Xenopus tropicalis: one gene and its partner. The protein of the gene in region 1 purifies or fractionates together with the protein of each later gene. This does not show direct contact. Links are inferred from orthologs where the notes say so. Each region holds a gene or a part of one and is shown in the gene's direction. Other genes may lie near its edges. The genes, in order: ccnt1 and larp7.

Region 1 (7,226 bases):
AATACATTTGGCAGGTTATGTAAAGTTTGAACACATTTCTGGAGGTTCTGGGATTTTGTGGGATGTGTTTTTACAGTTTTGTTAATGAAGATGAAGGGCTTTCCACCAGCGACTCCTATTGTTGCCAGTGGAAAGCCTTTTGGGAGTAGTTGGACTGGGGGGTGCAGGACCCCCCCAGCCCTTCCCCCCCAACCCCCTGCAGGGGCCACCCCACTGACGTCCTCCCCTGAGCAGGCTTAAATGAATCATGCCAGTGAGGATATTGGCAGCCAGGGGAAACAGCAACAGGGATCGGGTCTGGGACGTTTTTTCCCGGTGGCCTGGCAGCCCAGTCCGACCCTGCCCAAAGCCACTAAGTGGGTTCTTACCCATAAGCAGCTAGTTCTCCCAAGAGACCTGTTTATCTTACTAGTTACAAATGTATCTAAATGCAGGTGTTGACTGTTGAGTATTCTGGGCTCTCTGCCAAAAGCAACTTATCAAATTAAGTTTCAGAAACTTTGTATCTTTTTAGGCATTCAGTGCAGGAGATCAAAGGAAAATGAAGAACTTTTCAAAATGGATCCAGGACTGTAGGCTGAGCTGTTAGGTATGCAACTAATGTTTTACAGAATTTAATGACCTTGGGCCACAGATTTCAGATATAGAGGCACAGGCAGGGATTCCCTTCATTTTATGCATATGCTTCCCCAGGGTCATACTGTGCAAAAAAAAACATGTCCTGGCACTTGTGGCGCCAAGGATCCAGACCCAATCCCTGCTGGCGTACCCCACTGACATCCCTCCCCCAGTCACACTGAAGTTAAGTATAATGTAAGCACACTCGGGGGAGGGGGTTGGGTGGGCATTAGGGGCTCCTGGGGTTTGTGGGGGCCCCTAGGATGGCAGTCCTGGTGGGCCCTGCACACCCTAGTCCAACTTTGTACTTACAGCTGGGCCTGAAATGAACAAGAAACATGAAAGTGGTATTAGTTTCTTATTTAGGCCAGTGAATAAGTAAGTGTTAATTGACTTTGGGCCTGATTTCCAAATATCTATGTACAGGCAGGGATGCCCAGCATAGTATCCAGCTCGTTCCAGCCTTGCCCAGAATAATTCAAGACATGAAAAGTGTCATCAAAGTGGGCATCTTTGCAATTCTGGCTGTTTGACTAAGTAACAGGTATGGGAGAGGTTAAATGACCGTAGACAGTGGATTTCAAAATAAATATGTGCAAGCACGGATGCCACACATATATGGTCTAGCCTGGCCCGAAATGGCTCTGGGCATAAAAAGTGGAGTCAAAGTGGGCATCTTTTTAATTCTGCCTGCTGAATGAGAGAATGGGGTGTAGGAAAGTATTTCTATAGCACCACTTAATGGACCAGGAAACCCACATACACTGGAAACCTGTGAGCCCATGTGACCCTTCAAGATCATTTTATGACTATTCTAAACATAATTTCAGTTGGTTCATTATATATTTTTGATAGTTTTTGAAATATTTAACTTCTTCAAAAACTATTGCTTGAAGAGACTACATTTTTATTGTTGCTTTTTATCATTTGTTTTTCTATTCAGGTCTTCTCCTATTCATGAATACTCAGTGACCATATTATGGCTGAATTTCCGCGAAATACAAACCCCAAGGTGCAGAGATGCCAACTTCTTAACATGCATTGCTGGGGGCATTGGCGGATTTGGAGTGAGGGAGAGAAGGGTCCAAAAAAGGGTAACTCTGGGGTCTGGGGCATCAGAGATGACAGGTATGGAGATGCAGGGACTGTCCTACAAAAATGGGCCATTAGGAGTAATGCTTTTGTGACACTTTGCTCATTTATCTACACATTTGCACATGGGCAGTTAGCATGGAGACTAGGGTTGCCAACTTTTCTACAAAAAAAAAAAAAACCTTCCTATATTTTTATCTTTTTGTCCTATTAATAACATTAGCATCAAGTATAATTTTTTAACCAGGCTCATAAAGGCTATGCTTTATTTGTTTATTTGTCTCTGGCTTAAAGGAACAGTAACTTCAAAAAATGAAAGCGGTTTAAAGTAATTAAAATATAATGTGCTGTTGCTCTGCAAAAAACTGGTGTTTTTGCTACAGAAAAGCTACTATATAAATAAGCTGCTGTGTAGCCATGGGGGCAGCCATTCAAGCTGGAAAAAAGGCACAAGTTACATAGCAGATAACTAGTAGATAAGCCCCATATAATGGGGGTTTATCTGTTATCTGCTAAGTAACCTGTGCCTTTTCTCCTTTGAATGGTTGCCCCCATGGCTACACAGCAGCTAACTTATATAAATAGTGTTCCTGAGGCAAACACACCAGTTGTACCAGTGCAGGGCAACACTACATTATATTGTAATTACTTTTATACACTTTCATTTTTTGGTATTACTGTTCCTTTAAAAAAATCTATTCACTGATTGGTCGCTATGGGTTACTGCCCAGGTGGAAATTTTCCCAGTCTTGATAAATAACCCCAACTAAATTCTCCTGTAGAGTGAAAGTGAATTCAATAATAAAATTATTGGCGCTTTAGACTCACCTATAACTATGTATTCTTTTATTTTCAAGCGCCCTTCCTTTTATATTTTTTTTTTCTTTGTACCCAAGAAAACATATGGGAGACTTAGTGCATTTAACATGGCTTTTGCATTGTTATAATACATTCAAACCAAGAAGCAATTGTTTTTTAGGCCGTCATTATTCGAACTCCATAAACACCCGAAAAATAACACCTACGTCCGACTACGCATGCACCACGGCCACTACGCTACTCACGCAAACGCGCTCTGACGTCATTCCGTTTGCCATGCGTGCTCCTCCTCGCCCGCACAGTCATGGCGCCATTGAGCCGCTGGTATTTTACCCGGGAGCAGCTAGAACGCAGTCCGTCCCGGCGAGCTGGACTGGACGCCGATAAGGAGCTCTCGTATCGGCAGCAGGCGGCAAACCTCCTGCAAGATATGGGCCAGCGGCTCAACGTGTATCCTTCCCCAGCCCGCAGCGCCGGCCTGGGCGAAAGGGAGGCCTAGAATACATGGGCTTCGTGTTACATGAGGGAGATAAACTAAGGCCCTAGTGTGTGCTCTTTCGGCCAACAGCGTTACCGTAGAATAAGTACTAGTAGGGCGGGAGCAATGCTTTAGCCCCCTGTTTGTGTGTGGGCTCCGCATGTGGCACATTATATAACTAGCCCTACGGACAGGGATTGGCGGGGAGGAGTTATTAGTTGTGGTCGGTCCTGAGCCTAATGGCTGTCACTTGTACAGCTTTACATCATCTTGCTTTTTATACACTTAATATTGTTATTAAATCAATCCCTTGCTGGAGGGGTGAATAATTGAAGTTATCGAGCAGAGTGTGTGGACTTGTCTTTTTTAAATCTTACCAACTGAATAGATGTTGAAGAGAATGTCACGGTGCATATTATGTGCAGTGTTACACCGAGGCTAACCTAGTTCTATAGAAATGCAAGTGAAAGGGCGCTTTTGTTTTAGGAAGGGACTAGAGAGTGTCACAAGTACAAGGAATCGTATTACTTCACACAAGCGCAAGAAGTAAATGGTATATTGTAAACAAACCGTATTAATGTTGATACAAAACCCATTTGTTCACCTGATGTTTTTATTAGCCATAACTTTTTGTATTTGATGACTAGGGTTGGTTTAATAACATATTGTAATTTGCGTATAAGCAGTTACCGATGGCAACTGATCAGGTCTTTGCTTTTCTATCTTGCAGTAAACTCTGTCTTCCACTCTGTTCCGCCTGGTGCACAGGACTTATAGAGACTTCAGCACTCTCCACCACGTTCCAAGTAGCACAAAAATACCAGCATTGAAAATCAGCAGGGGTTATCCCGCTTAAAGTCCCGTTGTGCCGGTATTTTTGTGCTTTTAGAACCTGCATTTGTTCAGTTTACCTCCCATATTTGTAAATCAGAGCCCATATATTTTAAATAGAGGTAAATCACTAAACCCTATTAATGAAACAGTAACATAAAAATATGTTAATGGTTTCACCCCAAAACTATTACAGTAATAGGCAAAGCTTACTCCACCTTGGATTTTTGGAAAACTTCAGCTAGAATTTTACATAATGCTTCATAGCAGCAGGGTGACGAGCAACTTGCTTTCCCTTGTTCGGTGAAATGGAAGTTAGTTTAGCACTGGAGGACTTTCAGCACTTAGCTTTTTTTTATCAGTGTCTGCAGTTTAAATTTATATTTTTATTCCTTTGAACAACTTTGGAGGTTAATGTTGTGAGCATAAATTTAAACTGCAGATGCTGAAGGACCTCCTGTGCAAAGCTGTCTTTTGGTTCAGCTCACACAGATGCCTGTTGCCATGCTGCTATGGAGCATTTTGTGGAAGTAAACTTTAGCAGTATTGGGGTAAATTAAGTACTAACATATTTTTGTGTTACTGGTCCTTTACAAAGCATTTAAATGCAAAAGCCTTGGTTCCTAAAAGTCCTGTAAAAACACACCATTTAAGAATATGTTGTTACCTTTTTGGGGCGTGTGCTTTGACATTAAAAACATGAGTGTCTTCTGAGAGTACAAGGCACCCTCAAAAATCTCAGTCAAATAAAACTGGGGTCTGCAATGTGTTGTGTATTTAATTCAATAAAGCATATTTTGTGGTGTGTCCTGTGTTCTTGAAGAGATTACATGTTTTTGTGTCAGCACAGAGATGTAAAGTATCTACCTCCATAACATTGTATTGCTTTATAATTAACTGATCACCTCTTTCTGCATGTGTGTCCAGCTTCTGGCTATCTAGATCCTCTTAAACTAAAACTTCACAGCTAAAAGCTGGGATATTTGGGAGTTATACATTTACAGAATACAAAGGTCCCTAGTTTAAACATTCCTAATTTAAAATGCAGTGAAAATAAAGAAGTAAATGCAAAAGACTTAGTATTGTGTTTTGCTGTCTTATTTACTGCAGGCGTTTTAATTATTAAAAAAAAAAAATGCAGAGTTCAGTTTAAATATAGTCAAAGGTAGAAGTTTCCATCAGGTGAGTTAGTATAAACTGGGCCTGTTCTATTTATATAAGTGCTAATTATACCACCGTAGTTTAATTATAAGATTGAATAACATTTAAAAAGATTGATCATGGTTGCTGTTGGTAAAAGGACTGGTACAATTTAACAACCTCAAATTTAGTGGCCTCAATGTAAAGAATATTTAATGTAAAACCATATAATAATTTTAATATAAATTCAATTTATGTTAGAAAATGGTCAACAGTTTGTTTTTACCTGTTCACAAAGTTAATATTTCTGTCAAGGTGTTGTGCTTTATTTTTCCCACATAGGTAGGGGTGAATATGAAAATCTTATTTTCCTTAGCTTTACTTGTACAGATCACAGCTGACCATAAATACAGCTATTGTATATGTGCATCGTTTCTATATGGTTCAATCTTTCACTCGATTCCACCGTAACGTAAGTGTAAACTTAATTGTGCGTATACTTGTTTTGCTAAATTATCCTTTTGTTAAGCAAACGTGTGTTGCGCAACTTACTCCCCATGAAAAATTACATATCATTAAAACAATATACATTATCACAATTACATAAGCTATTGTAATTAGTTATTGCCTGGAGTTTATAAACAGAATGGAATGCTTTTGCAGATTAGTTGAATTTATCATCAGCGTGTACAATAGTAAACTGACCTGTTCACCAGTGTATCCTAAGCATTATGGAAAGGGTTTATACAGTACCTATAGTGATATCTTGTTTATATAGAAAGAGGAAATATTTTTATAATGATTGTTATTCATTATTCTGGCTTAGTGATCTGTTCAAAACACCTTAGCAATTAAAAAGACACACTTTTGTAGTTGTAAGAAAATAACTGCATCTACAAAAAAAAACTAAACAACGGGGCAGCTGTTGTGTTCATATGTATCCTATACATTTGACTGAACTGGTCTACTGGAAATGTATGAAAACACAGAATTTTAGTGGATGCATGTATTTATACTGTCATTTTGTACTTTGCAGTCTGTGGGACCAGCTGCACTCTTCTTGGCAGCAAAGGTAGAAGAGCAGCCTCGGAAATTGGAGCATGTAATCAGGGTGGCACACGCATGCTTGAGCCCGTTAGAACCTGCACCTGATACCCGAAGTGAGGTAGGTTGTTTTACAAAAATATTAGAAAGTGCCCTAGCACTGTTGGTGTATTTTAATTAGGGATGCACGGAATACATGGTCCTGGCCGAACCAAATCCTAAAAAAAGTCACGTGACTTTTTATCATGTAAATATGGAAGTTGAACATTTTTCCAAAATTGTCCAACATTTAACCCTTCCAAAACCTAATTAGCACATGCTTTTTAGGATTTGGGGGTTTGGCCAAATCCAAAAAAGTGGATTCCGTTCATCCCTAATTTTAATTCATCTTTATTGTTTTACCAACAGTACAAGACAGAGTGATTTTGCTACTTTGGGGTTTTTCTACCTCCAAATACCAATACAGGATCTGAGGTATTGTAGGTGTGTTAACGGAATAGTTTAGGAACCTTTGTGCTGTGTGGGAATCATTTGGCCGAAACTTATCAGAATATCTAAATTAATAACTCCCAACTAATAAACATTTAAACTATGAGTACAAATGAATTAGGCCAGCAAATCTAAATTTTAGTTCTCTTTGATCTTATTTCCCATATGGGGTCCAAGAGTGTTGAATTCTCTTAGCTGAATTTAAAGATGATAATTTTAATAGTTCAGGTGAATTACTAACCTGTTTGACTATGTACATTTCTGGAGGATTTGGAATCCCTCAAGTCCTGAAACTGGGGATTCTGTGTACTCCTGGCAAAATTATGTTATAAAAAAAAAAAAAACACATTAACCTTCCTATGTACAAAATAGGATTGCATACACAGTGTCTTAACATTTAAAAAGGTTGCGCAAACCTATGCTTATGGTTCTGTTGGCACTTCTCCTGGATTTAAAATTAGCAGGAAAGCTCTTCCATGGGATCTTAACTTATATGTATAACAAAGTTCCTCTGTAGACAATGCAGGAGCTATGATATATGTAGTGTGATTTTTTTTTGCAAATTATGTGACCAAATATGAGGTTTACATAATAAATAAATTGTATATAACACACCAGATTTATACAGCAAGAATCTGGTAGCTGCATTTTTTATTTGCATTATTGGCTATAGCCATGTTTATGTCATGGAATAAGTATATTTAAAAATCATTGC
Region 2 (7,161 bases), on another chromosome or scaffold:
AAAATAATGACAGCATTTTTTACCACTCTCCCTTCTGGTGATAGCTTTAAAATTCCATCTTGCCATGTTTTGGACTTTTTAGTCTTTTGATGAGTGTACAAAACCTTAAAAGAAAATCCAGAAATGAATTATTCTGAAAATACCATGTACTCAATTAAAAAAAACCCATAAAACATACTTACGATAAATGCCTGAGCAGCCATGTTTGTATCTCAGAGCTGTTTTTTTTAAGTATTTGAAGCACCTACAATCATATGAAGACAGCAATTTTGTTAGCTCACAAATCATATTCTATTGAACATGGATAGCATTAAAAGTTGTCTGATGCAATTTCTTTAGAATGTTCTTATGCTTGCCACAATTAGGGTCATTTACATACACAAGAGGAGTAAGCAATTTTGGATGGAGTTTGCTGTGGGGTTTTTTAATCACAATGTGGTGTTTATTTTCCCCCACAATCCTAATGCAATAACACTTGCATTTGTGATTCAAATCCAATCAGGTTAAATATTAGGCATTATATAATTTCCAGCACTCAGCATAAAAATGATCAAATCTGTACAAGATTCTTTAGGCAGAAATCCACTGTGCATATTGATGCAGGCCACAGTGGAAACTTTTAAAATTTCCCCAACTTTAAAGTAGCAGTAAGTCCAGGGTTCCCCTGCATCAACTGAATTTGTACATGGTTCAGGAAAAGAGGCAGGATGGACACATGGGTGCTATGCAAACTAACTATAGGGATGTATAAGGAGTGACTGCATGTATTTAAGGGTGACCTCTACTTTTGTTGTAAATCAGCCCAAATGTGTTAATGCGTGTTACTGTTTTCTTTATGAATATGTAAGTGGGAATAGGATTTTATTAAGGGTAAACTGTTACAATCCTATTTGCACTTACCAAAACTTCCACAAGATGGCTCCTATACCATTTTCAGTGTGTCTATTCTTAGCATATGTAAACAGTTGGCACTAATTATTGATATTAACATGTATTTATAAAATGCCAACAAATTCTGCACTGTTGTACAATTATAGGGTGTATAAATTTAACACACAAAAACAACTAATAACCAATATAAGAGCTAAATACATTCTGTTGGGCTTATATAGAAAAGGTACATAAACAATATCTGAACTTCCAGGATTGTATTTTTTTTTTTTTACACAGACATATCTGATTACACATTGAATGGAAACCATGATAATCTGTCTCTGCTCACAGAACCATTTTTCCTCACTTAGGGACTTACTTCTGAAAAGTGGCCACATTTACACCTGGGCAATAACCCACAACAACCAATCAAATGTTAAATTTTATTGTTCTGCCTACAGGTGGCTAAAAGTCTGTGACCCCCCACAGTAGTTTTTCTCACTTTTAACTTTTTTGTTTCTCCACAACAAAATTTACACTATTATTCTTCTTCTGATTTATACAGTGTTGACATATAGATATGATTTATACAGCGCTGTACAGAAATGAAAAATTATTTAGATCAGTCACATTCCCAGTGGAACTTACAGTTTGATATCCCTATCACATTTACAAACGCACCAGCAATGTTGCCAGGACCCAGTTACCCTGTCTGAAGGTGTTTGGAATGTGGGAAGAAACCCATGTAAGCAAGGAGAGAACATACAAACTCCAAGCCCAATGTGCCCCGGAAGGAAACAAACAAAAGAGCCCAAGACTAATTTGTTAATCCTGCACCATCCTACCCACTGGCATTTTGACACCTTACTTCAAGGTATGTATGTATAACTTTTTTTATAAAGCTCTACAATGATATGTAGCGCTGTATAATCTTATAATATACAAAATTACACACAGGGAGGACAAGTGTTAAAATAAATACAATAGACACAGTAGGAAGGAGGTCCCTGCCCCGTAGAGCTTACAATCTAAGTGGTTGGGTAACATACAGGCACAAATTGGAAGGTAAGAGTGCACCAGGTATGGGCATTTGCCCTTAAGCGCAGAACTAGGCAAAATCATGTTTTAGTGCTCCAGAAGATAGTTTTATCTTAAAGAGAGTGAGTGTTTCCTATGGAGGGATTCAGGGATAGAGTTCCAGAGGTAAGGAGCAGCGAGATAGAAAGGTTTAAGACGAGAGAGCGCAGTGGGTGTGGATGGTGTAAAAAGACAGAGGCTCTGAGAGGAGCGGAGGAGATGACCAGGAATATGCAGGGAGACCAGTGAAGAAATGTAGTGAGGAGCAGAGGAGTGAAGGGCTTTGAATGTTAGCAGAAGGATTTTGTAAGCTATCCTTTGCTTAACAGGCAGCCATGCTAGAGAGATTAAATCAGGCTTAAGTTAGACTGAACAGGTTCTCTCAAGTTACTATTCCTAGTTAAGAGGAATTAAGGTTTTTGACATATCCAATATCATTATCACGGGGTTTGTTGACATCTTTGGGAACGCAAAACATATTACCACCGCTTCTTCCTCTGTCTGCCTTACCAGCCGTCATCAGAAACATAAACATTCCATCTCCCACCTTGTTCTTTCGAACAAATCGCGCTTTTTCTGACGTCATAAAAATGCGCCAAAGCCACTAACGTGTATTTGTTTTAATATTTTTTGCAGTCTTTGTTTTGATGGTTGTAAATTGTACTTTTTGTCACAGTCATTGCCAACTGCTCTTACAAGCACCCACGAACTTCCTGAACCCTATCCCATACCTTGGACGCCGGTTCGTTTCCATGGTGATGCAGGCAGCTACGGGGCAGCCTCTAAAGCGCTGCATCTTGATTGGTTGATCTGGAAATTTTATGTGTCGCTCGGCTGATGACGTGAAGCTCATCCACTGCGTGTTTCTATACCTAAATCCCGAATGACATGCGAAGTTATCCGGAGCTGGTAATGTAGTGGCGTGTGCTTGTTCTCTATATTGTTGGCAATGCTGCTATCGTGAAATAAGCGATTGTTGGGGTTACTTGGTGCACATGGGTTAGCAATAGGATAAAGTGTAGGCTGGGCGCCCCACATTCACTGGGTCCTCCAACCAAACATTGTTTTGTGCATAATGTATGAAAATGTCATTCTAAACAACTTTTTCTTGTCCATTTATTAACAATTCTCACTGAGTAGCAAAAGTGAGCTGATTATAATAGACCTAGGGGTATATTTATCATGCTGTGTAAAAAGTGGAGTAAACCATTACCAGTGATGTTGCTCATAGCAGCCAGTCAGATGCTTTGGTTTTATAATAGTTGAAATCTAATTGCTGATTGGTTGCCCTGGGCAACATCACTGGTAATCCTTTACTCCACTTTTTACACAGCATGATAAATATACCCCCTGGAGAAGAAATGACGGCTACAGAGTTATAAATGTATAATCAGAGAACAAAAGAGGATTAAAGAAATACTGCTTTCAATTGTAATTACATAAAAAAAAAACTTGATATATGTTGGAAATTTGCCTGCAATTGCATTTTCTGTCATTGTGCAAGAACACTTTTTAAAAAATATATGGATGATATTTTCTTTAAGAATGGCCTTACCCATACTGTTTCAGTCTTTCTTACTTAACACATTGCTATGAATTATAATTTTTACCTGCAAAGTTATGGCAGCCATACAAACTGTACAGGTGCAGTCTACATATAGCAGTATTTCTTAGATAAACCATGGTAAATATGTACACCGCCACTGATGGGAATGTTTAAAATGAGAACCTCTAAAGACTGGAGTACACCAAGGGGTATATTTATCATGCCACTGAAGGTGCCCAAGCAAAATCTACATTTAGGGCAGGAGGAGGTAGAATTTCTATTGTTTCTACCTCCATATCTGACAATTCAGCACTGAACATCAGTGGAGGGTGGGAACGATCTTTCCTGCACGTAAGATCGTTATTGCTACGTGTATAGCCACCTTAATAGCAACTATTAACCTACAAATTTCAGATCTGTTAATTTGTAAAACTAAGAGGGATGAGAACCACCAAAAATATGTTTTGATGACGTGTTTTTAATTTGTAACTTTTCTAAATATCCAGAATGCCTTGTCAAGAATGATCTCTGGCGAGTCTAATTCCAGTTGCACAGTATATGTCCTTTAGATTTTGAAGAGAAGTAGACGGTGGATAACTCTTGGAGAACAAAATTAATGTTGCAATATTTGATTGGCTTCTCTCTTGAAAAAGAAAATATTCCTAGCTAAAGTTATTTATTATTGTATATACAAAGTAAACAAGGTCTGTGTGACAATAAAAATATTTTTCACTTCATTCTATTAGAAGTTCAAACCATTGTACCTTTGACAGCAAACTACCTGTGAACAATTCATGATGGTGCACAGTTAAAAACTATGTTTCAGGAGATCCTTCAAAGTGATGTCAGACTTGCTGCTTGTAGCATCCACTTTCTGCTGCTTTTAGTTTTCTGGTAAATCAAGCAGGAAACAGCCCCAGTCACACAGTGGATGTCATTCAAGTTCATTTTGCACTTTGACCATTCTACTTAACATGTAAATCTAATTTCAATATGCACTGAAGCAAATCTGCACACAATGCAAGGCCTTTATTGAGCAGGGAGGAGCATAGTATCAGACTGATATTAGTTTCAATGAAGTAAAGAGACTTGATTCAAGTAAATATGTTTTGTTTCTTAGCAGTGTTTGAGGAACAAATAAAAATAAAAACTCACGTTTCACAATGTAATAGTCTTCATTAGACCGTTATCGCATTGCAAACCTTAATTGTGCATAGCACACTTTAAAGGCATGCCTAAAGGTGGTGTAATCTTTTGGAGCAAAAATAACTTTTTCAGTAAGGAGTCTTATTGTATACATTGCGCACTGGTGCAAACTAGAGTCCTGCACAGAACCAAGTTTTGAGACCTGGACCTGCAACCCAAACCCACATTTTAACCTTCTTGGACCTGCCATTCAATCCGACCTGCAACTGCCTTATCCACAACCCAATCCAAAGTGCTGTTGCTGCAAACCAGAAGCAACATCATCAGAATGGGAAGGGGTAAAACATGTTTAGAGTAAAACATAATAGATAAAAGATAATATAAGATACGCAATCTAGAATAGTAACCTGTCCCTGTGTCTGAAAATCCAACCTGCAGAATACTGCTTTTTTTTGTGGATAACCATTAATACTGACTTGCTGCAGGACTCTACTACAAATGACAATATTTGCAGTCTTTCTTCACTGGTGGAAGTGGTCACTGAGCAGTTTTTGAGTTCATAAAAGCTATATTAAATTCACACAAAGAAAATTTGTTTGTGCAAAGGTATACATTTTTTTTTATTACATTTCACTTCTTGCCTTCTATTTATTTTGCCTTTAATGGAGTCACAAACTGGAGGAATAGCATATATAGAAAAAAACACATCTATTTTAATCTGTTTTAATTCCTATAATTGTGAGCTACTCTATTGCTTGCACTCTCATATATAATCCATTGACAGAGTTTTACAAATCAACACTTTGTAGTGTGCTGACACCACAGTTAGCAATTCCACAGGCATTTACTCCATGCTGACAGTCTGTGACACTTTCCTGAAAAGCATTGCTGTCAATGTGAATGACTTGAAACTGTACCAGCAGCCTAATGCAGTCTATGAAGATACCTGTATATCTACACAATTCATTATGTTCAGAGACATATGCATTTGTCTTATTCCTAAATCACCACTAGGGGTCCTATATACAATGATTGTTGTTGTCCTAGCCTATGTGAATTTTCTGTTATAACAAGCAAAATGGTGTGCTTCAATTCTTATGCTGATATCCAGTTAATCAGAGAGAGTATTTTCTGAATATTCTGTTACACTGAAGTTAAACCTTGCTTATATGTAGCTTTTATTTTCCATTAAAGTGACACTACTGGCATAGTAGCATTTTATCACAATATTCAAGTGGGTGTTGTTTGGTCAGTGAACCCAGTAACCAAATAATTTTATCATTTTAAGCGTGAGACTGGAAATGGGAAGACTAGACAAGCAAATGGTCACAGATCATAGAAAAAGGCCAAATGCAAAATGACTCGGTGTAACTGCCTATGTGATACTGGTTTAGCTTAATGTTTAGCTTCAAACTTTGTATTCCATTCTACATTTTTAAATGTACTCATGTGTGCAGGCTATTTATATATTGCACAGCAAGCCATATGTTGTTCCGTTTGATGTTAGTCTTACCACACTTCTTGGCAAATATAAAAAGAGGAATTTTGCTACTTTATCAGTATAGCACCTTTTTAATATTAGTTTTGTGCTAATTATAATGAAGTCACATTATCATTCAGCATGTTGAGGTTCCCTACAATCCTTTAAATATGCAATTACTTTATTTTTTTTCCCGTGTTTAGAGAAGATGACTGCGATTGAAACTGACACCCCAAGCAATAAAGTCAAAGAAGATGAGAGTACTGATTTGAGAAAAGACCGTGAAAAAAAGAAACGGTCACGAGTAAAGCAGTTGCTTGCTGACATTGCTAAGCAAGTGGATTTCTGGTTTGGTGATGTCAATCTGCACAAGGATCGATTTCTGAGGGAACAGATTGAGAAGACCAGAGATGGCTGTGAGTACTTTGTGTTATTCCTGTTTCCTTTTTGTGCCATATCACTTTACTCTTACACTTTGGTATAAGTAGCTAAAATCATATTCCTAAGTGCTACTACATGCTGTAGTGTCCCCAAACAACATCTATAGGATAGGAGATAGAAAACCTTCCTGAAGCACTGGAGCTCCTTAACATATTTAAAAATGAGCTTTTATTTCTTCATAAAAAGCCATCCTACATACATGAGTCAATTTCATATAAAGTCAACACACATGTATAACAGTGATCTGCATTCCTCACAATAAAGATTTCAATAAAGTGTAATGCTTAAACATGTATTAACTGTTGAAGTGAAACAACAATAGGCCATGAAAAGTCCACTATACAAATACATATCACCAAAACATGCTCCAAAGTATGGCTATCCATTTAGGATAATGTCAGTGGCTTTTTTTCAGGAACTATTGCCTGTCAAATGCTGACATAAGCGCTTGTCAAGCAATTGCAATGTTTGTGGATTTCATGTACTTTAACCTTTTTATAGCCATAGGACGTAGATTCTACGTCCTAGGTACCAAGGGACCAAAGTGCCATAGAACGTAGAATCTACGTCCTACAGCACTAACGGGTTTACAAGCGCT

Evidence for each region.
Region 2: the proteins of ccnt1 (region 1) and larp7 purify together in Homo sapiens (affinity purification with mass spectrometry; 10 studies listed by BioGRID and IntAct, with this or other methods). This does not show direct contact. The link is inferred for Xenopus tropicalis from reciprocal best matches to the Homo sapiens genes CCNT1 and LARP7.

The regions. Positions count from the first base shown.
Region 1 is NC_030678.2:135,689,595-135,696,820, reverse strand, and holds the start of ccnt1 (cyclin-T1), read left to right. Parts: upstream 1-2,807; 5' UTR 2,808-2,833; coding exon 2,834-2,979; intron 2,980-5,368; coding exon 5,369-5,450; intron 5,451-6,014; coding exon 6,015-6,143; intron 6,144-7,226. UniProt on the Homo sapiens protein: Regulatory subunit of the cyclin-dependent kinase pair (CDK9/cyclin-T1) complex, also called positive transcription elongation factor B (P-TEFb), which facilitates the transition from abortive to productive elongation by phosphorylating the CTD (C-terminal domain) of the large subunit of RNA polymerase II (RNA Pol II).
Region 2 is NC_030677.2:68,966,203-68,973,363, forward strand, and holds the start of larp7 (la-related protein 7), read left to right. Parts: upstream 1-2,809; 5' UTR 2,810-2,859; intron 2,860-6,325; 5' UTR 6,326-6,330; coding exon 6,331-6,538; intron 6,539-7,161. Other genes in the region: protein ZGRF1, read right to left, coding at 24-104, 183-203. UniProt on the Homo sapiens protein: RNA-binding protein that specifically binds distinct small nuclear RNA (snRNAs) and regulates their processing and function.